Lytechinus pictus: one gene and its partners. The protein of the gene in region 2 purifies or fractionates together with the protein of the main gene of each other region. This does not show direct contact. Links are inferred from orthologs where the notes say so. Each region holds a gene or a part of one and is shown on either strand. Other genes may lie near its edges.

Region 1 (7,906 bases), on a different chromosome or scaffold from region 2:
AAGAAGTTTTGTTTGAGCATGAAAATAGATGTTTTCTATTTTCTTATTTGGCCTTGATACATGTATATAGAAGATTAAACAAATGATTTTCAAGAATTTCAATTTAAACCACTGAATACATTTAGCAAACCTTGGGTTGTGGACTTATTAATATTGATATTAATTGAATTTCCCTTAGACAGCGCCTCATCAAACAAATGCAGTTGGGGTCAGGGAGAGTGGGAGAGACAAAGGGAGAGAGGGTAGAGAAAGAATGGGAGCTGGAGAGAGGGGGGATAGGAAAGGGAAGGAAAAGAAAAGGGATGGGGTAAACAATTCCTGTTTCACCTGCTTCGACAACCTGCTTCCTGTTTCGTTTTTATTTATTTGATTTGATTTATTGATTTCCATTTCACAATTGTACATAATATGATAAACATAACAAGGTCGAAAATACTACAAGACAATATAATAACATAATCATAGATTAAAGGAACACAATTCAGTAAATAAAGTTATCTCAGATGACATTTGTGTTTAAAAGTAAAACGGAGGGTCTTGCCAAAAAAAGCAAAGCTAGTACAAAAGGCAAGCCCCTAACTTAGTTTCATTACAAAATTACAATAAAGAAATATTGGGTCGTAATAATATACAGAAATTTTCTTTAAAAATAAATACAATTTTTGTGCACTTTACATAAACGCAACTGATGGATCGTGTGAGAAAATATATTGTTTTACAATACTAGAGAGGGGGGATGAGGGGGAGAAGACAGGAAAGACAGAGGAGTGCAGTGTACACTAAGTAGAAAGAAAGAAGGCAGGCAGCAGGAGCAGGTACTTTCACTAATTGCAATTTTAAGAAGAAAAAAAATAAAACAAATAATATACATGTCTATATGAGCGCATATAATACACAAAAGCCGAGTATAATTGAAATAGTTATTCAGCTTGACCTGTTTGCAACGAGTATTCCAGAATTAACTTTTTTTTCAGTTTGCATTTAAAAATATTTACATTAGGGGATTCTTTGAAATCTTGCGGCAGAGAGTTCCAATTAGGCAGGCCCGGAGAAGGGGAGAAGACAAATGAATTCTTTGCTAAAGGAAAGTGATAATATTGTCGTTGCCTTGTTGGGTAGCAGTGTACGGATGCATTTTCACGGAACATAGAGAAAATCGCGGGGAGATCGTCCTTGTTTCATTTGAACATAAATTGACTAAGTTCGAAAATATATATGTCACTTACTTTGAGAATGTTATTTTCAAAAAATAAGATATCAGTATGTGATTTAAAGTGTGTTTGAAAAATTATTCTTAGAGCTTTTTTCTGGAGAAGTAATATTCTATTTAGTTGTGTTTGTATTGCACATCCCCAGGCAATTATTCCATAATTAATATATGGTAGAATAAGGGTGTAGTATAATGTTAAGTGCGGGAAGGGAGAACATGTTTGAGTTTATCAATAATTCCAATGTTTCTAGAAATTGTTTTACCTATATACTATCAATATGAGGCTTCCATGATAATTTGTTGTCAATAAGGACACCCAAGAATCTGGTAGTGGAAATATTATTAAGAACGATATCAAAGAAAATACTGTCTGGTAGAGTATTGATTTTTATTGATTTTATTACTGAAAAGCATGCAGTTTGTCTTCTGGTGATTAAGTGAAAGTTTGTTGGCCTTGATCCAATCTGTAACATTTGTTAGTTCAAAATTTACGATTCTAACGAGTTGGTTAATATCATCATGGGAAAAGAAAATATTGGAGTCGTCAGCAAAAAGTATAAACCGTTTAAACAATCATGTTTAATTTATTGAAGATTAGATATTGAAAATTAAACTTTGTTGCTTAAGATTTAAACACTTGTTTAAACTGTTTAAACAATTACTGTAAGCTTCATATAGTAAACAGCGTTGTGCAATTTTTTTTTACTGTGTACGCCAGGATATTATTACCTTGGTTTTAGCCCCGCAGCCTTTTACAGCGCGATGGCATTTCAAGGAATAAATTTTTGCAAGGTACGTACCCATTTACATCACCTCGGTTGAGTGTAGCACAATGTGGATAAATTACTTGCCAAAGGAAATTACGCCATGGCTGGGATTCAAACGCACGACCCTCTGTTTCAAAGTCAGAATACGTTAATCCACATAAATATAGAGTGTATACAAGACATTTGTATTTACTGAATATAATACATTTGTACACTGTACATAAACAACACTGAAAAATGAGTGGATGCTTATGATGAAAGTCAAACATTGTAACCTGGCGCTTATAAACTATAATGTATGTATATATCATATGAAAGAAAAGTATAGTCTCTGTTTTCCATCGAGTTGCAAATTTTTGATTAATGATTATAATTCATAAAGTGTGATAATGCATATTTTTATACCTATTTGTGAACATTGAAGCGTAACTCACAATGCTTCAATGATCATGACCTATTTCTTATTTTTTCTGAGAGATGAGATGACATGCTTTCATTTCATATGAAATTCAAATCCTTTTCACCCGTTTTATTAATTTTGACAGGAAATGAAATATTAAAAATGAATCTGATTACACCCCTGTACAAAAGTCAATGGGACAACAGCAGACAGGGATCAATTCGTTTTATATCGTTTATGAAATCTGAAATATCGACTGGAATATTAAGAACTGTATATCAAATGGGATCAAATGAAAGCATATCATCTCATCTCTCGGAGGAAAAAAGGAAAAGGAAATATACCATGATCAATGAAGTGTTGCGTGCTATGCTTTAATAATCACAGCAAAGTCTAAAAATATACATTGTTGCATATTCATAATCATTCATGCATGACTGATCACTATTTTAAAGTAGTTGCAAAACAAAGGCCATACTTTCTTTTCCATTTTTATATTCATTTTGACAGGAAATGAAATTTGAAAAATTAATCTAATTACACCCATTTACAAAAGTCAATGAGGCAACAGCAGTTAGACATCAATTAATTAAATCGTTTACGAAATCTGTAAAACCGACTTAAATATAAAAAATTGTATACCAATTAAATGAAAGCATCTAATCTTTTGAAAAATAGGAAACTTCATAAAGCTTGCTCATACCCCAAGCATGCCCCAGCGACCATTTAAACTCAGGGGCCGCGGAACGGTTTTCAAAGTGGGGGGGGGGGGGGGCTGATGATGCAAAAAATACAATTGTGTGGTAATTTTTACGTTATTGTACACGTTTTTTTTTTTTAAGTGGGGGTTGAAGCCATCCAGCCCCCCCCCCCCCCCCCCCCCGTTTCTGCGTTCCCTGCGTTCTATTCAAAGTTCTCCTTCTCACCTACAAAACTCTCAATGGCCAATCCCCAAAATATCTTACAGATCTCATTTCCTTATACGCTCTAGTACCTCCTCAAGACCTCTCCGTTCATCGTCTACAATGCAGTTAACTCCTGGACCACGAACCTCTACAAAGTATGGTGACCGCGCTTTTTCTTCAATTGCCCCTTCCCTTTGGAATAAGCTCCAATTTTTTTAATGCCAAATCTGTGAATCAGTTTAAAACCCTACTCAAAACCTACCTGTTTAATAAATGATTCACAGTTGTGGGTCGGTCAATTGGAGGTGCACACCAGTTTTGATTTTTGATTATTAGTATAGTTGTATTAGCTGTGTCATTTTCCCCTGCCACATTTTTTTTTTATACCCAAGTACAAACCACAAACAGAACACAATGCACTTAGAAACACCAGTAGTAGGCGCCAAAATGTTGTGTATTATTATCATTATTATTCCGCGGCCCCTGAAACTAGCTAAAAAGAAGGGCGGGTGGGGGATCTTAGGTTCATTAGGTCTCAAAAATTAAAACTATGATCCAGAAAACTATAGTCTCGCATGAAACCTTTTCTATATGAAGCTGGATATTTTTTGTTTTGAAAATCGTTTTCAGATTAACTCAAAAGTGTAAACATTTTTTAGTGAAATTTTTCAGGAATTTATATTCTTGCAATGTGATATTGGAATTCATATTTTTCTTGAGACTAGCAGGGAACATAAAATTTGGTTCTTTAAAAAGAATATTGATTGTTATTAAAAATTCCTTTAGAATTCATTATCAAGCCAAATTGTGCACTATAACTTTTTTTCAGCTTATTTTAGAAATGTCCAAAGTTCGTAGACATTGATGGATCGGGGCGGGGGGGGGGGGGGCATTTCCGGCCCGCGTGCCCCCTGTGGTGCCCCCCTTGAGAGTTATAGTCATAATTTTTATAGTAAATATGTATTTTATACACAAGTGCGTCCCCCTCCCCCGCTTTTAGAGCCACATCCGAATATTTTTATTGGGAATTTGTCATTTTTTTAATTGGAATATTAAAACCTATTTATTTTTTTATTTATTTTATTTTGCTGTCAAATTATACGCGGGACAAATCGGTCTTCATTTTTTTAGAAAACTTTTTATTGGTCAAATTTTCCTTAGGGAAAATGTGCCCCCAACCTTTTGGGAAAATCTTGGATCTGCGCGCCCCCGACCGGTCTCGAGTTACATTTTTTTTTAATTTTTACTTTTGGACGTTTTAATTCGGCGACACTGTATTGTCGCAAGATTCAACGTAAAGAGCGGTAAAAATGCAAGAAGAAGTTTGGGATTTTCAGAGAGAAAAAGTGTAAGAATACGAAGTTTTACAAATCGCTTTGAATTGATGATAAAAGAGAAAATGATAGATAAGTAGATAGAATTTAGAAGAATAGGTGACACGGAGATTGGAAAATCTAATAATCTTATCCTAGTTTTGCGGTGCCTTTTTTGGTAGTCCCATCTTGTCAAATTCATGTCCAGTTTAACACAACAGAGAGAGAGAGAGAGAGAGCGCCCACGGGCACGGCCCACTCAGTCAAGGTTAGATTTACATGCCGCCGCATAGCTGTACTTATATTTTTCAACAAATTTGACCAGCAAGTCAATGATGTGAATGCCTACTTGCTCTTGTTATGAATCAATTTATACAAATAGATCTACAGGTCATACAGCACGGACATTTCTAAAAACGAAAAAAGTAAACTGGTTACTAATAGTCCTACAATTTTACAAACACTGACAAAACAAAAGAAAAAAGTCAAAATACAGACATCTTGATATTCTTTTTCCTTTTCCTACTCCTAGTCCTAGACCTCTATCTAACATGTCTAACGTTATAAACTAGGCTTATTGAAGAGTTGGGGATCACAGTTATCAGGGTAGGAAATACAATAATATAATTTCTTTCCCAACATTGTGGGGATTGCTAATTTAAACTTAAGTTAAAGCCTAAAGGAGCATTTTCTTTCATTTTAAGAGTTACATTTTTGTGCAACAAGTATTAGTAGTTATGCTGTGAAAGCATTTCTCATTACTCTGCTGTATGTAGAAAATCGGTTCTAAACTTCTTGAAAGTCCATCTTGAATGTTTGTGGTATATCTTTGATGGATATCTTTGAGGATGGTTGCCCCAAAGCCACTCACACGTATTGCGAGGTTAGGGAGGCAGTGTAGCTCAGTCGGTTAGAGCGCCTGTTCCGGAAAAGATCGTAGATCTCAACGTGCGTGGGTTCGAGTCCCGCAGCATGCCGGAAGACGTCTAACAAAAAAAACTGATGCTAGCGTTGTGTGTTAACGTGCCTCACCGCTGTGTTCAGTGCGGGTGTGAATGCAGTTGGAAAACACTCCGTCCATCGGAAAGGACGCAAATGTTGGTCCCGTGTATAGGAGAGTCACAACCTATGCACGTTAAAACCAATACACTATTCGTCAAAGAGTAGGGTGTTCACCCGGTGTATTGCACCTGCCGGTCCCCGGTACTACAATACTGCAAGAATCTTCAGGATTGAAGGAGGCAGTGTAGCTTGAAGAAGTGAAGAAGAAGTATTAGTATACTAACCTCGCACCACGAACCGCGTTTGGCAGTGGATTTCTAACTAGTGGGTCGCGCGTGCTGGGATCTCACTTCATGGGTCCACAACACACGACTTCTATGGCTTGATTTTTCTGTGCGTGGCGGCATGTAATGAACCCTTGGGTGCCCCAAAGCATTCAATTTGGGGGATTTTAGGGGCAACTTGGGATGTCATGAGGGCAAAATCTCACATCGCCCTCATGCATTTCCTACGCTGACAGGTACATGTATGGTTTCCATCATCAGGTATTTAAGATAAAAAAGAATTATTATTTTAAACTTTGTCCCTCTTGTTTCAGATAATGTGAAGAAAGATGGCTAGTTCTGTGCAACAGGATGGAGTGGCTCATCCTGTTCTAGAAGATTTGAAGAAAGAAATCAGCCAACTCGGTAGCATGCAAGTGTAAGTTTATGCTAACATTGATGTCACCAAGCACATTGTAATGATGGTAGGAATAGTCACACGAGGTTTTTCCACAAGTAGTTAGGGGAACAAAAACGAGTTAAGTTTTAGACATTATCAATATCAGGACATTTTCTTTGTGTGAAAATACATCCCTGTAGTGACAACACTGGTAAATGGGACTCAAAATCTCAGAGTCTACCATATTTTCCGGTGTATAAACAACACCTTTTTTCCCGCTTTTAATCTTGAAAAATTGGGTGCGGTTTATCCAAAGAAACAACAAAATTTCATAAGTAAAATGTTTCTTCGGTAGTTAGAGTTAGCAAGAAACCAAGAATTATATACAATATTTAATGTATAATTATTTGTTGGTTACTAAGATTGGAGAGTATATTTTGCGAAGTTTTCTTTGAAAAATCTTCTTTGTAAAGGTTGTTTTATATTATTTATTTAATTACTATCAATTTGATAATGTTTTCCTAAGAAAAACCTGATTGTTTTGTGATAAAAACTTTTTTTTCAGCTAAAAATGCATGGAAAATGCTCTTCAGTAGGCATGTAATCATAATCGATCGTAATCGTAATCGGTTATTTAAAAAGGCAATAAATAATGTCCTTCATTCTTTCTCTCAATATTTTAAAAAATATCCCTTTTTATACCATAATTTTGATATTAAAAAATGCCATTTTATGGTCTCCTTTTCCTTAAAAAAACCCTGGTTGTTTTGTAATGAAAACTTGTAATCGTAATCGGTTAGAAAGCAGGCAATAAATAATGTCCTCTATTCTTCATTTTTTCCCTCAGTTTCTCTCAACATTTTTTGTTCTTTTTCCCTTTTAATCTATAAGTTTGATATACAATACTGCTATTTCATGGTCTTTTTTTCTTTATTCTACAAAGAAATAATTTACATTCTTTGAAAAATAAAGTTAAAGAATGGAGTAACCATTTTTTAAAATACAAAAATTATTAAGATATCTTTTGATCTTTCATAGATTTATATTGAAATTGGCTAACCCAAAATAAAAAAATAAAAAATTTAAAAAATCGGCAAACCAAATTTGATATTATTTTGAAAATAATATCAAATTTGGTTTGCCGATTTTTAAAATTTGTTATTTTTTTAGTAATATCAAATTTGGTTTGCCGATTTTTTAAATTTGTTATTTTTTTAGTCTCTCGATTTTGGGGGTGCGGTTAATACACGGCTGCGGTTTATATTCCGAAAAGTATGGTAGTCATCAATTTCTCAACCTATCATAAGTATAATGTCTTGGACAACCCATATGAAATATGGGCTGTACAGTACATTCCAAGAAAAAATGAAAATTATTGCTGTTTTACCATAATAATGCTGATGATGATGATGAAAATAATATGATAATAATGAGTAATGAATGACTCACATTTCCAAAGCTACATGTAAAATTCTGCTGTGTTATACTTATTTGATGTTTCTCATATGCATTTTATAAAGGAGTGAGTAAAAAAAGTTGAAAAAAGGCACCAATTTGCAAATAGTCATTTGGCAGTCTGTTTCTGAATTTTAACAAGAAGTGTTACATTTCTAAAGATTTGATTTCTGCTCTTAGACAAGTGCTAA
Region 2 (7,850 bases):
AATGTGGGGGTCTATGGCCCCAGCCCCCAACACCATCTTTGCGCCAGGTGGGGGAAATGGAAAGGAAGCTAAAATAATAAATTTACAAACAAAAACTTTAGCTCGGTTTCTTGCTCCGCACTAATTAATATTCATCTGTAAATTAGATTATGAGGATAACATGATGCTCAAAATGTTCGGGCAGGTCTGAATTTATTTGCCCTCCTAAAAGATTATTTAGCAGGGGCCACGGAAGCGGGGGGCTGGGGGTGCTTCAGCCCCCCACTTTTTTCCAAAACCATGTACAAAAACGTAAAAATGACCATATGATTGTGATTTTTTGGCTCAGCCCCCCCCCCCCCCCCCCCCACTTTGAAAACCGTTCCGCGGCCCTGTTTATGCATAACGGTTCTTTTCAGAAATTAGCAGGCGCTTCGCGGTCGCATTATTCACTTAGTTAGATAAATGACAAAAAGTGCTTATACTGGAGTAACTGAACCCAATGATCGAAGATCAGCTCGCCATTCGAGCTCTCATTGATCATGTTGTCTTTGTCTCATTGTTCTATTTTTTGTGATGAGGGCTACACGTGCAAGTGAAATTAATTGATTTCTGTTTGTATTCATGGATTATTCATCCATTATATTGTACAAATTTTGTCACGATAATAGGCCTACAATATAATTATTTTCGTTCATTTATCATATTGATGTGTATTTCATTTTGTACATGTATGAGAAATTGTAATTATCTCGATAAGGGTTCAATTGAGATCGAGGGTGAAAAAAGGGTTTCCCATAAGAGTCCTTATCTTTGTCCTTTTTGTGGAGCGTTGTGGTCTAGTGGATTAGTCTTCGGACTTTGAAACACCGGGGTCGTGGGTTCGAATCCTAGCTATGACTGGCCCTGGGAAGCGGGGTGGTGAATTAGTACCCCAAAAGTTTCCTTGGTGGTGCTGCGTGTATTATTTTTCACACTCAGCACCCCCGGGTATTCTTGAAGATTTGTAAACATGGAAAAATGTACCAAAAATGCCCCCTTATTATTTTAGTGAAAACTTTTTTGGGGGGCAAAACCTTTTTTCCACTTTCTTTTCAAATTTACATCACCCCCCCCTCCTGTAAAAAAAATCGTTCCCACGCAGGGCCCTGATGGCTATAATATGGCGTAATTTTCCTTCAACAAGAAATGTATTCACAATGTGCTGTACTCAACCCAGGTGAGGTTAATTGGCAGTTAAGACAATAATCTCAAATAATTGTGAGCACCGGAATCGGTAGACGAGCTTGGCCGGGGTTATAGGACCATAGGCGGCAGAAGGGGGGGGGGCGGGGGTCGTGTCCCCCCTAGATTTGAGGTGGGGGACCCCCCCCCATACAATTTCTGTTGATCCGAAACTTGTCAATAAGCTTGTCAATTTTTTCAAAAATTTCAGGTGGACCCCCTAAATTTGTTTGCTTCCGCCGCCAATGGTTAGGACGAGCGCCTTATTGAGTACGTACTAATTAGTATAGTAAGTACCAATCATGGTCGGCAAGTGGGCCGATATACCGAAAAGGTGACATGGCCTATATTATTGTTGTTTTCGGGTTCAGAAAGAACCAAATTCATTGTACAGTTGTAGGCCTTTATTGTTCACTGACTTTGTTTATAGTGACTTAGATCTAAATTCCTACACATCGATATAGTCCCCCTATATGATAGTCCTTAATCCTTGAATCATAGAAAAGGTAGCCTCAAAGGCCTTCATATTAATTTCTAGCGAACAATATTTATCTTTTTGAAGGTCTTTTTTCTTATCTGTTCGTTTCCTAATTCCCTTTCTCCGTCCTCCCCCCCCCCCCAATATTTCAAATATCATGATTGACCGGTGGCCGACCCTAGCTTGTGTATAGCACCCACTGATCTATATCACATAGAAAAACATAACTAATTTTTATCAGAAATATCTTGTTTTGTTGGAAATTATAGGAATGAAAAAAAATAATAATAGCCTTTACTTTTTTTTGTTCTTTCTCATTGATTATTATGGCTTACTATTACATGTATTATTGTTTTGTCATGTTTTTAGATGTGTGTTTATACAGGTCTCCTTGGTCGAGCAGTTTTTATAATTGAAAGGGGTTCTCTGTTTAATAAAACGACAAATAAAACAAACATTGTCCTCCTATATCCACCTCTTAGGCTGTTCTGTATTTTATACAACTCTCCCCTTTCCCCCCATATTCTTTTCTTCGCCTCTCCGTTTCCCTTCCTCTCTTTCTCTTTAATTTCTCCCCTCTCTCTCTGCCTCTCTCTCCCTCTCTCTATCTCACTTCTTTGTCTCACTTTCGATTTCAATATATTAATTGGAAATATATTTGACCCTCTCCCTGCATGTCCCGCGGCCTTATTTTTATTTCTTCCTCTCTTTCCATTCTTTGCCTTCCGTTCATCATCTCTCCTTTCTCCGATTTCCCCCTTTTTATCGAGGCGGGGGGGGGGGGGGGCGGGGCTATGGGACCCCTTTGGTGCCAATAGTTGGGCAATGACGCCTATGCTCACGGCCCACTTTTTTACTTGACATTTTTTTTTCGGCGCACCCCGACGTGGGCATATTAATATGACCTGTAGCTCAGAAACTTGGCGTCCAGGGCAGCTTAGGTGCTTATATAATATTGCCCCCTCCACATAAATAATTATTATAAGGTAGCTAGCTGCAAGTAAGAGTTAAAAGTCTTTAGATAACTTTTTCTACCTATTTGGCTTTCTTTTCCAGGGCGGTTTTTTTGCATGTGCCCTGAGGGCCGTGCGATTTTTTTTACTGGGGGTGCTGATGTAAATTTGAAAAGAAAGAAAGAAAGAAAGAAAAAAGGATTCAATACAAAATGGAAGTCAAATTGGTCCCGATCGAGAAATTTGAAAACAATACAATAAAAACAAACAAGGGGTTTCACTACACTAAAAATCAAGGTCACTTTGGTTACATTTTTCAATTTTGTTCACATATCAGCTTCCAGAATACCTGGGGAAGCTGCCTATGAAGAATTATACACGCAACACCCCAAAATAATTTTTTGGGTGCTTAATAAGCACGTAAGTACCCCGGCAGGCTGCAGGGCCATGCCTGTGCCCCTATTGCTTGCACTTTGCCCATCCCGGGCCCATCTCGCCCCATCGGTGAAATGAGCGAAAACTTTTGAGGGGGTCGATCTGCAGACATGGCAGAATTTCTGAGAAGCTGGAAGGGGCGAAGCGATCGATGGAAAACACACACACACACTCACACACTTGTCTTTGTGATAATAATTTTGTGACAGATTTGGACAAAACAACTTTCCTCCCCGCGCTCTCTCTCTCTCTCTATCAAAATATATGTCTTTTTGTAAACGAAAACCAAGATTTATATTTTGGGCAATTTTATACATTGTATGATTTCCGGATTCTAGACTTCTAATAGCTAGGAGTACACCGGGGGGGGGGGGGGGGGGGCACTCACTAATGCATAGTGGGTATGTGCCGCGGAGGGGACCCCCATTTTTAAACTCAAATTTCCGTTCCAGGGCATAGCATTTTCATCTTATTAAGAAAAAGAACTATAAGAAAGCCGCTCCGAAAAGCATAGCATTTTCTTCTTATCGAGAGAAAAGAAAAGAAGAAAGAAATCCGCTACAAAGCTTCGCATATTTTTCGTTACGCCGTTCCGGTCGCATTGATCCGCCACAATGAGCTGCCATTTTGGTGAAAAGCGGCCGCTGAGCGCTGTCCGACCATCGCCTCTGCGCGAACCCGTTCCAATTAAGGACCCCCGTTTTCACAAGCATTTGTAGTTCCGAAGCCCGCTCCGAGGACCCTCCTTTTTACAATAAGTCCGCTCCAAGGTCCCCGGTTTTTGTCTCGCCCGCGGCACACACCTACCAATTTTTTGGTCGAGCGCCCCCCCCCCCCGGGGAGTACACCAGATATTTCAACCCTAGCTAGGCTACACGTACGTAATAGGCCTATGCCCCCCCATATTTCGTTATTCAAATTTACTTCATCAGGGGCCGCGGAACGGTTTTCAAAGTGGGGGGGGGGGGGGCTGACCATGCAAAAAATCACAATCGTATGGTCATTTTTACGTTTTTGTACACGGTTTTGGATTTAAAAAATGGGGGAGGGCGGGCTGAAGCCCATGCACCCCCCCCCCCCCCCCCGCGGCCCCTGTTCATGAATATCCATCTTAAATGTACGGTATGTCATTAGTAAACGCATACAAAGAACTGGCTTCTACCTCCATGGTTTTACCCAACGCTGGAGAAAAAACAAAATAAAAACAAACAAACAAAATCCCGAGGTGATTCCCCGGGTGATTTCTCATGACTTCCTTGTCTTGCTCAACCGGCCGTGCATAAAGCATGCAGTGGGTGATTCGCGTTCGTAGCAGGCCGATTTCGCTCGCTTCATGTATTCCCGATATACAACAAGCCCTCTGATTGGTCAATACCAAGATTCTGGCGCGCCGTCTCCAAATTGTACTTGTGAACGGGTACGGTTCTGTGAATGTAAATTGCAACCACACTGTTTCCAATCGGAAAAAGAAGAGTTCCTTCTCTGTAAATAATTATTAATATTTGGATCGAGACTTCTCTTCGAATATGTTCAACAACCAAGGAGGTAATTACACCGTCGGCCTTAATTCATAATTATCGTGAAATATATCTTAATTCTTATCTCTCCTCTCGTGATCGAGTCTGTCAATTGAAATTTGAATGTGCAGTCGTGTGTGTGAGTGTGTGTGCTCTCACTTAGACTTAGTTAGAGAGCTTAGACTTTAGACTTAAGAGTTTTAACGTTAGACTGAGACTGAGTAAAAATGATTGGCATTATCGTGAAATTGGGAACCAGTTCCTAATTTCCACAGGACACTTTTTCACGACAAGACATGACCCACCTATCTTTTCGAGCTTGCTCACTGCTTCACCGCAGCTCAGCTGGCGCGCTGATTCTAAATAAATCGAATCCTTCAAAGAGCTTAACGTTAGTGACTTAGTCTACTCTTACTATTTTAGTTAGATCAGAAAGATTGATTTCGTCGCTGTCTTTTCTCTACTCGCCAAAATGGGAACCAGCGTGGAAAACTCCCCCATAGAGTTGTACACGCTGGTTCCCATTTTAGCGAGTAGAGTAAACAAGTTTACTCGCTGAAATGGGAACCAGCGTGTACAACTCTATGGGGAGTTTTCCATAGAGTTGTAGGCGCTGGTTCCCATTTTAGCGAGTAGAGTAAACTAGCTTACTCTACTCGCCAAAATGGGAACCAGCGTGGAAAATTCTCCATAGAGTTGTACACGCTGGTTCCCATTTCAGCGAGTAGATAAAGACAGATTACTAGTGATATTTATTTCGTTAGTGATGATTCTCTGACGAAATAAATCTGACTAATAAACTGTCTTTATCTACTCGTGAAAATGGGAACCAGCATGTATAATTCAGGAGAATTTTCTTAGATGGTTCCCATTTTGAAGAGTAGATAATATATAAAGAGAGATTGCCAATGAGATTTATTTCGTCAGTGATGATTCTGACGAAATAAATCTGACTAATAAACTGTCTTTATCTACTCGTGAAAATGGAAACCAGCATGTATAATTCAGGAGAATTTTCTTAGATGGTTCCCATTTTAAAGTGTAGATTAAACTAGTTTACTCTACTTGCTGAAATGGGAACCAGTGCGTACAACGCTATGGGGAATTTTCCATAGAGTTGTACACGCTAGTTCCCATTTCAGCGAGTAGAGTAAACTAGTTTAATCTACTTGCCAAAATGGGAACCAGCGTGAAAAATTCTCCATAGAGTTGTACACGCTGGTTCCCATTTCAGCGAGTAGATAAATACAGATTACTAGTAAACTGTCTTTATCTACTCGTGAAAATGGGAACCAGCTATGCTGGTTCCCATTTTGCTGGTTCCCATTTTCACGAGTAGATATAGAGTTTATTAAAGTGATTCATCCCCATATATATCTTGTTTGTGATTTTTAGTAAATCAATTTTGTAATCATTTTTTTTCAACATTGTGAAAGTGGCAGAGTGGTCTTGAAGAGCAGGGAAATGCGGGGTAGATGGATATAATTACAAAAATTATAATTCAGCGGAATCATCGATGTCATCTGAAAACTTGTCCACCCATGGGTAACTGAGCCCGATAAATATCGCATGAGGAAAGAGGTTACCAGTTGTGTGAGGAGCTTCGCATCGTCAACAAAGCCTCTCGCATCAATTCTTTTCAAAATCGCTGAAGCGAAGTTTCTTTACATGTCGTGGTAAAAGGAGGTACAAATTCGATTTGGTGACCAGTTCCCAAAAGCACGGAATGGCCAAATGATTTACTAACGTATGCCCCCGAGATTTCTACTTTCCTTCTAAAAGATCAAGTTAGCCCTAAGTCATGTACATGGGATACAACTTCATTTCCGACATTTCTACGATATTGATTTCATTTTTAAACAATTCAAGACAAAAAACAAGAAAAATGTAATAAAAGACAGAAAACTTGCCACCGTGTTTACGTCGCCTTCTTGATTTCATTGTCTTTCGCTTGGCGACAGTACACAAATCGCGCGGTTTGCTACACAAAGCCAGGAGGCTTCTAGAGATTAAAATCATTTACTAACGTATGCTTAAAAAAATGAAAAGTCGGGGGAGACTCGCCCGATGTTTACGCCGCCATCTTGTTTCCTATATTGTTCTTCCCCAACTTTACAGACACGCGCGTCAGTAAAAATAGATTACGTCAAGTGACCTCAATTCCCCACAGTTCACTATCTATTTTCCCCTGTAAACTGGGACGATCCCAATTTTCTGACCACGCCTCTACTGGCTACCTCACCCTCTTTGATTAGAGTCTGCTGCTTGAATCCCCCTCTTGATAGGGGAAACAGCACGCCAGAATAGTGAAAAGGGAGAGAGTTCTTAAGTCTTATTGAATCTGGGAAGAAGCTCAACTGGGCGTTGTTGCGTGTGCCTGTAATCCAAGCTACAAATTAGTTACAAATTGATGCATAGGTTCGAGGTTTGAGCCCTGGTCACGTCTTTCGGATGGTGACGTTAAGGTCGGTCCCAGACGCAAATAATCATATCTGATAGATACATGTCTGACAAAACTCAAATGCACACACACACACACGCTCTGGTAGACAAGTGTTCTGGCAAAGGGAGCAAAGCTCTTCTGAGAATGACCTCTATGCAACGATGTGGATAAGCTTTAGATTGAAGAATAATTATTACCTGTTGACTGTTGTGAACATGAATGTTTCAGCTCTTGGCTGCTCATCATAAATCATGTAAATTCTGAATGCACAAAAATTGTAAACCTCTACTCCAATAATAGCTGTAGTACCTAGTAATAATCCTCCTTGTCACATGACACTAGTAGTTGTATGTTACCCCAGCTAAGCTACATTTTATCTACAAAATCCAGGTGAACAGCTTTTTGAGGAATTCCTGTCTACCCATTTTACTCACCTAGGTTGAATGCGGCACATTGTGGATCAATTTCTTGCTGAAGAAATTACCTCATTGCTGGGATTCAAACCCATGACCCTCTGTCTCAAAGTGTGAAGACTAATCCAACAAAATGTTCCACAATTTGTAATTATTTTGTCTTTTACTTTTTTTGTCAGGTTTTGATGGATATGGTAATGACCATGGTGGAATGGGTGGAGGTGGATTTAATTCCCCAGGAGGATTCAACACACCAGGAGGATTTAACTCACCAGGAGTTGGATCATCACAGACTAAGGTATAAATAATTATATAATATGACTGGCTTTGAGGGGAATATCAAATATATGGCCCACAATATAATAATATTGACTTGAGTCTATAGTTGAGGGCAATGTGGTTCTTTTA
Region 3 (7,795 bases), on a different chromosome or scaffold from region 2:
AATCATAAATCACTTTTCAATAAGTTTCTTTTTTGCTATCTAATGGTACATGTACCATGGAAACATTGCTCAAAAGCCAATCAATAAATCAAGGATTCCATGAAATCTATCCTGGAGGTGCTGATTATTTTAATTATACAAAGAGGTAACAAAAAGAGTTTACTTTTACAGTTTAAAATCAAAGTCTTACCATTTCTGATAGGCTAGAGCAAATTCATAGTTCAAGAGATGCCCCGAGACAGATGTCATGGTCATTTCACATTGTTGATTCAGTAGACTGTAGTCATATTCATATATCTTGTTGAACTTTGAGAAACCCTCTCTCTAAAAAAAGAATTAAAAAATGATTAATCCAAGAACATTGTGAAAGAGAAATTAAAAATGTGTGCTTTTATTGTATGTATGTATTGACAGATTTATGAAAAATACCATGAAAATTGATTTCATCTGAATAGAAATATCCACAAAAGATGAAAAATTCAATTCATGAAGTTAATTTCATCAATTAACTCTGGCTGGTCATTAAAAGAATTTTCCTCATAAGCAGATTTTTAAATGTCGAAACAATTTTTTTTTTCACTTCTCAATGTTTTCTGTTTAGCCATCTGATGGTAACTATATGTTCCATGGTAACAATGCTCAAAAGACAATCAGTGAATTAAGGATTCCATGAAATTTACCCTTAATGATGAAGTTACCATTATGGTATAATTACCATTAGAATAACATTTACATGTATGCAACTAATTTAGGCCAAATACCTTTGATAAAGTACATTTTGCTATTGGCAATTCATAAATATTTGGCTTAGATTGAAATCATTGAAACTTATCAGGAAATAAAAAAATCTAATCCATTTGATTCATCAATTGTTGTAAAAGTAAAAAAAAAAAAAGAAGATTTTGTAAACTTACCCTATTGTATCTGCCCCTAGACATGACATCAGCAATTGACTTGGCAGCATCATTCTTCTCAGCTACATTCAGAACCTTGGTTGCATGTCCCCGTGCCATAGTGAGGTAGGTGCACAAAGATATCCTCAAGCAATTCGTCCAAATTAACATTGGATGGGAAATCCTTAAATGTCCAGGTATAACCCAAATAATTCTGCCAACTACAATGTACCCCAGCTCACGCGGACTGTTCGGTGGTGGAATTTATCATTTCATTTGTCTTCTATGCATTCCAATGCAATTTGTAGAAGTAAAATACTGGAAATGTATTGCCTTCACAGATCACTGTACCACGAATCCTGACAAATTAAAAGCGATACAGGTTCCATAACAGACTAAGTTGCTTGCGGATGCACAAGATTTGTTGACGGAAGGACTTTGATCTTGCCATATAACTGAGGACAAGTTCTAAGAAGATGCAGAGGGGCAAATAAGTCTCCTATACTTTATGCCCAACATCAAGGTAAATCAAGGTAAATACTTTGGAGAAATAGAAATCCATTGCATATTCCATACAAACATGTCCAGACATCAGAATTCCTGCACATATCGTAAGAGGAAAAGGACATTGGGTAAAAGGAACACCATGGACATTCTTCAGAACTTCCAGGTCAAGAAGTGTCATCTATATGGAGAGCTTCATGTATTCTCAATAACCAACTATGAAACCAAGTTAATAGTTGATAAGTTTAAAAAAAAAAAAAATGTTGGTAATAAATTCAATACAAATGGCAATCAATTCCTACGAAGGACACGTTATTCTTTTCCCTATCTTTTCTGGATTTTCAACCAGTGGTAAGTATACTTGCTCATGTAGATCTAATACCCGAGCATGCTAAAAGATAAGAAAATAATTATGCATGAATGAGATAAGTTGTATTCTGAAAATATTCTCATCTTTTATCTTTTCTTATCTCCCAAGGTATTTACAAATAGCTAGAGTGTTATCACCATACATCTCATCATGGCCGTGCTCTTTCTTGATCTTTCCCGACATCAAAAATAGTAACTAGCAGCTCATCAACCTTGTTACAGGCCCACTGTGAATGAGAGGGCCGAACAAAAAGGATATGGGATACCTAGATCATTGGGGTGTGGAAAAGTCCTACTATAACAATATTACATCAACGGCCACTGGCACTGAAGGTCTAGTAGGAACAACAAGAGTAACGCTAAGGCCAGCACATAATATGCCCGCCTGCAACGCGGAAAATTGAGTTATTGGTCAAGCAAGAAAAGTGGAAGGTGGCGACCTCACCTTTGACCTTCTGACCTCAAACTCAATAGAATTCCTGGGATCTATGCTAGCTAGTATCATACACATTCAAATTATATGAGCCTAGGTTAAGTTAAACTAAAGTTATCACATTTACAAGGACTTCAGAAGGGTAAGATGAAAGTATGTCACTGTGATCTTGACCTTTTGACCTCAAAATCAATAGGCTTCCTTGGATCCATGACCATGCTAGCATCATACACACCAAATTATATGAGCCTAACTTAAGTTATTGCACTTACAAGGAAAAGTTAATGGACGGACTTGATTTCGCCGCCTGATGTAGAACCGGGGTCCTAAAGCAACGCACTCGATTTATCATGCAAAAAATTAGTATTTCCTGTGGGGGTGCTTCAATTTCTAAAATATGTTCACATTATTATAGGATCTGAGGATATATGATTATGAAATAAAGCGAATATAACTCCGAAATTCCAAACAGTTGTTGGTTTTCTCTGCATTTAACTTGTTAGAGATTTATTGCAGCCTCTGGGCACTGGCTCTGTTGAAAAAAAATGAATACACCTGACCTGTAGTCTGTACTTGTAGTTGTAGGAATTGTTCGTCACTCTCTGACTCTGTCTCTGGCTCTGCACTGCAGCACTGCAGTCACAGTTCCACAGTGACCACACACAGACTCATTTGCCATTGAAAACTGCATGCGCGATGAGTGTGGCGTTGCTTTAGGACACCCTACCATAGTCCATACGTATTCTCGAGTGAATTAAGGGTTTGCACAGCAGACTACACTAGCCCCGGGGAAGTCGCCACTTTGTGTACGGGCTGCCGAGCCGGAGTACGGCCCACGCCTAGCTCGCCCGGCTACGGACGTTCGACGCGTAGGTACCGGTACACCGGCGCCGGCCGCCGCAGATAGTAACGCGCGATGCGATGGTCGGATTCAATTCAACTTAGCTGCCTACGAGACGTCTTGACGTGACTTAGGTAGACTAATCCTCTTTAAATACCATTGTAATAACATCTTGAATAACTGATAAATTGATGGCAAAAGTGTTAAAACCCAATCAAACATTACCGGTATCTCCGTATGAGACCGAGCGAGAGCTGCAGTGTAGTCTTCGGTACCGTAGTCTTCACCATTTGATTAAGCCGCCATTTACTATTTCATGATTACTCAAAATAATACCTCTAATCTGAAATTATTGATGTTTTTGATAAATAAAGTAGATTTAAAAAATAGATAATAATACAAAAACTGTATTATATATATTGAACACTTTTGATTAACTTATTTTACATATTAATCATTATTAGTGTAAATTATAATTTACACTACCGGTAATATACTGAAGGTTGTTTTGTGCCAATTTGCAACACCCTGTGGCTATATATTTTTAAAGATTTAAAAATATATATAATTATTGCTTATTATTATCATCTTCATTATTATTATTATTATTGTTGTTGTTCTTTCTATTATTATAATTATTATGTTTGTTATTATTACTAATTGTGGTGGGGGTGGCGGCCGAGATGCGATTATTTTTTCCGTATAGGCCTACATGGAAACGCTAGGGGTGCTATGGTACATGAATTATTCATAAGTTAAGCTAAAAAACTGAAGTGCGCAGGAGCTATAGTTCTGTAACTTCATCAATTTGTACATGAACGAATGTAATATTTTACTATGATACCTAAATTTTTATAGAAATTATGAGTTTAACCAAAAGTGAAGTCAGATATAGTACAATGGAATAGCCCAAATAAAAAAAAGGACTAAAATAATGGAATATAACCCAAATAAAAAAGGCCTAAAATAATGATTTAAATAATGGAATAACCTAAATAAAAAAGTACCAAAATGATTTAAATAATGGAATAACCCAACTAAAATGGAATAGCCCAGATAACAAAAACAAATAGTAAAGAAAATAGATCAACCCAAATAAAATGGAATGATTTATATAATGAAAAACCCCAACTAAAATGGAATAGCCCAGATAACAAAAATAAATAATAAAAAGAAAATTGAATAACCCAAATAAAATGGAATAACCAAAATAAGAAAGGACTAGAATAATGGAATAACCCAAATAAAAAAGGACTAAAATAATGATTTAAATAATGGAATAACCCAACTAAAATGGAATAGCCCAGAAAACAAAAATAAATAGTAAAAAGAAAATGGAATAACCCAAATAAAATGGAATAACCCAAGTAAAAACGACGTAAATAATGATTAAATAATGGAATAACCCAACTAAAATGGAATAGCCCAGATAACAAAAATGAATAGTAAAAAGACAAGTACAAATCAATAGTAAGAAGAAATTGGTATAACCCAAGTAAATGAAATAACCCAAATAAAAAAGGACTAAAATAATGATTTAAATAATGGAATAACCCAACTAAAATGGAATAGCCCTGAAAACAAAAAAAAATAGTAAAAAGAAAATGGAATAACCCAAATAAAATGGAATAACCCAAGTAAAAACGACGTAAATAATGATTTAAAATAATGGAATAACCCAACTAAAATGGAATAGCCCCGATAACAAAAATAAATAGTAAAAGGAAAATGGAATAACCCAAATAAAATGGAATAACCCAAATAAAAGGGACTAAAATAATGATCTAAATAATGGAAAAACCCAACTAAAAAGGAATAGCCCGTATAACAAAAATAAAAAGTAAAAGAAATGAAATGACCCAAGTAAAATGGAATAACCAAAATAAACAAGTGGAATGCCTCTGGCCGTCTCACCTGCATCACGCGATTCAATATAGCAGCAGTGCTGATTTTGAAAACTACTATAACTCGCACAAGATGTTCAGTGATACTTGGTTACTCTTATTTCCACGTTTTATGAACTAGACCAATACACTTATAGAGATATATATGATGGCAATTCAACAAATACCCCCAACGTGGCCAAAGTTATTTGACCTTACATGACCTTTGACCTTGATCATGTGACCTGAAACTCGCACAGGATGTTCAGTGATACTTGATTACTATTATGTCCATGGGCGGAAATCCCAGGGGGGACAGGGGGGACGTGTCCCCCCTACTCAAAATATTAGGGGGGACACAATATCAAATGTCCCCCCTACTATTTTTTGGTCTTTTATCATGGTAAGAAATACATTATTCTAAATAAAAATAAAACATGTATTTTGGGAAGAGATGACCTTACTTTGGCGATGATAACCTTTTTTTTGCTTGTCAAATTGTCCCGCCCCTTGTCCCCATAGGCGGATCTAGGGGGCCGAGGGGCCCGCCCCCCCCCCCCCCCCCTCTTGGCGGAGCAAAAAAAAAGGGAAAGAAAGAAGGAAAAAAGGAGGGAAAAGAGAGGAGAAAAAGAAAAGAAGGACTACGAGTGCATAACATAAGATGAGGGGAAGACTTGGAAAACAAAAATAATCTTTCGTGCCACTATATAAAATTTTCGCTCGCGCTTCGCGCTCGCATTGCCTGTTAGGTGATTTACATATCTTGTTCAATATGGAGTTCGAATATCAAGTTTGGAAGTCAACATACAAAACATATTTCACCTCGGAAATCGAACTTTCATTAATTTGTGTAATTTACAAATTGGTTTTTAAAAAGTGCTCTGTAAAAATGTCAGTTTTATGGTCAGAATGTTAACATTTGCTGCTTGCGCTGCGCGCTCGCAAATTTTGATTTATCAGGTACCTATTATTTTCGTGTATTCCATAAAGTTGTCAAAATATCCCTTTTCAGGTCTGATTGTCAAGACGTATCAGCTAGCGCGCTGTACGCTCGCATTTTGATTGGCGAGTTATATAAATGTTTCAATATTGATTATACAACAAACTGCTTAAAATCCCCCTTTCATGACAGTTTATCAAAAATTTTAGCTCGCGATTTGCGCTCGCATTAATGGTTAAAAATATATTAACTGATGCATCCTATTCATAATAAAAAAAAGTGAAATGTCCAGTTTTTATGCCATGATATCATCAGATTTCGCGCCTTCATTAGGCATTAATAAATATGATATTAATTTAATAATTAAATTGTCCCTTTTCTTTCATCTCGCGCTTAGCAAGAGGAATAGGAAGATAGTCATCATTTTCATATGATGACATGTCGTAAGGATGTCCCGGTCCTATGTCAAAACTCAAAGTAATAATAATATCAGCTCTTTTTTTAGTGCGATCCATATCTACCTTACAATTTTTCTACAAAGTGCTTCAAATATAAAGCTGAAATTGACTCTTTTTCAGATCGGAATATCAAAGTTTCATGATTTTCATGATTAAAGTTGTATTTAGAATGCCTAGATTCTAGGTCTAAATATGAAACACGCTCGCGCAAGTTTATTCAGATACTCAACTTGTTCTCTAATTTAAATCATTATCCAGTTTCAGATCACAATATCAATTTTTTTCTGCTCGCGCTTTGTACTCGCATTATTAATGTAGAAAGACTCCATATTACTCATACTTTTGATGATTTACAAAACATGAACAGAGTGGCCCATTTTTAGGTCTAAATCTCGAAGAAAATTCTGCTCGCGCTTCGCACTCGCATCAATCGTTAAATTATATAGTTATCCTGTTCACGATTACAAAAACTGATTAAAATTTTCCATTCTTTCTTTAGAAAGTTCAAAAAAATTTCAGCTCGCGTTTCGCGCTCGCATTTTTTTATTGTTGGAATATGTAACGCCTTCATGGCTAAGTGCAAGCAGTCCTTCACAGGTACCTTTTCAACAGGTACCAGTTCAAAACGTATATAAAAATTTTCTGCTCGCGCTTTGCACTCGCATTATTAATACTCATCCTTTTCAGGATTTACAAAACTATTATAGGACTAAATGTCAAACTTTTCCGCTTGCGCTTCGTGCTCGCATTAATTGTTTACTTATATACCTATTCTGCTTGAATTACAAAAAGTGCTTAGAATTTCCATTCTTTAGGTGAAAATGTCAAAAAAAATTCAGCTTGCGCTTCGCGCTCGCATTATTTGATTGACAAATGCTACTTTAACAGGTATCTTTTCCATCAGTTCATTCTGCTCGCGCGTTGCGTTCGTAGTAATTATTTAGTTGCATACACATCTTTTTCAGGATAACAAACATTGCCCAGAATCAGTTCAAATTTTAGGAAAAAATACATAAAATTTCCAAAAAAAATAGCTCGCGCTTCGCGCTCGCATCATATAAATAAGGATTATGATATTATATATTAATTTATAAGAATAAAGCTAAGAAGTGACTCATGAGGACTACCCCTTCAAAGAAACAAACAAAAATCATCTTCGTGCTGCCGATCGGGGAAAATATGGCTGAAACAAATTCCCCCCCCCCCCTCTATTGGCGCAGGCTGGATCCGCCCCTATGTCCCCCCTACCTTTTGGGAGAGATTTCCGCCCCTGATTATGTCCAAGTTTTATGAACTAGACCAACACACTTTCAAATTTATGGCTGTAATTCAACAAATACCCCAATTTGGCCAAAGTTCATTGACCCTAAATGACCTTTGACCTTGATCATGTGACCTGAAACTTGCACAGGATGTTCAGTAATACTTGATTACTATTATGTTCAAGTTTCATGAATCATATCCATAAACTTTC

The links. Proteins that work in one complex are often made in the same cells at the same time.
Region 1: the proteins of replication protein A 32 kDa subunit-B-like (region 2) and serine/threonine-protein kinase ATR-like purify together in Homo sapiens (affinity purification with western blotting; 3 studies listed by BioGRID, with this or other methods). This does not show direct contact. The link is inferred for Lytechinus pictus from reciprocal best matches to the Homo sapiens genes RPA2 and ATR.
Region 3: the proteins of replication protein A 32 kDa subunit-B-like (region 2) and DNA topoisomerase 3-alpha-like purify together in Homo sapiens (affinity purification with mass spectrometry; 4 studies listed by BioGRID and IntAct, with this or other methods). This does not show direct contact. The link is inferred for Lytechinus pictus from reciprocal best matches to the Homo sapiens genes RPA2 and TOP3A.

Annotation. Positions count from the first base shown.
Region 1 is NW_026974140.1:6,100,361-6,108,266, forward strand, and holds the start of serine/threonine-protein kinase ATR-like, read left to right. Parts: upstream 1-4,544; 5' UTR 4,545-4,630; intron 4,631-6,195; 5' UTR 6,196-6,210; coding exon 6,211-6,299; intron 6,300-7,906. UniProt on the Homo sapiens protein: Serine/threonine protein kinase which activates checkpoint signaling upon genotoxic stresses such as ionizing radiation (IR), ultraviolet light (UV), or DNA replication stalling, thereby acting as a DNA damage sensor.
Region 2 is NC_087261.1:4,470,890-4,478,739, forward strand, and holds the start of replication protein A 32 kDa subunit-B-like, read left to right. Parts: upstream 1-4,416; 5' UTR 4,417-4,595; coding exon 4,596-4,614; intron 4,615-7,621; coding exon 7,622-7,740; intron 7,741-7,850. UniProt on the Homo sapiens protein: As part of the heterotrimeric replication protein A complex (RPA/RP-A), binds and stabilizes single-stranded DNA intermediates that form during DNA replication or upon DNA stress.
Region 3 is NC_087254.1:17,256,595-17,264,389, reverse strand, and holds the start of DNA topoisomerase 3-alpha-like, read right to left. Parts: upstream 3,363-7,795; 5' UTR 3,266-3,362; intron 1,494-3,265; 5' UTR 1,065-1,493; coding exon 915-1,064; intron 325-914; coding exon 191-324; intron 1-190. UniProt on the Homo sapiens protein: Releases the supercoiling and torsional tension of DNA introduced during the DNA replication and transcription by transiently cleaving and rejoining one strand of the DNA duplex.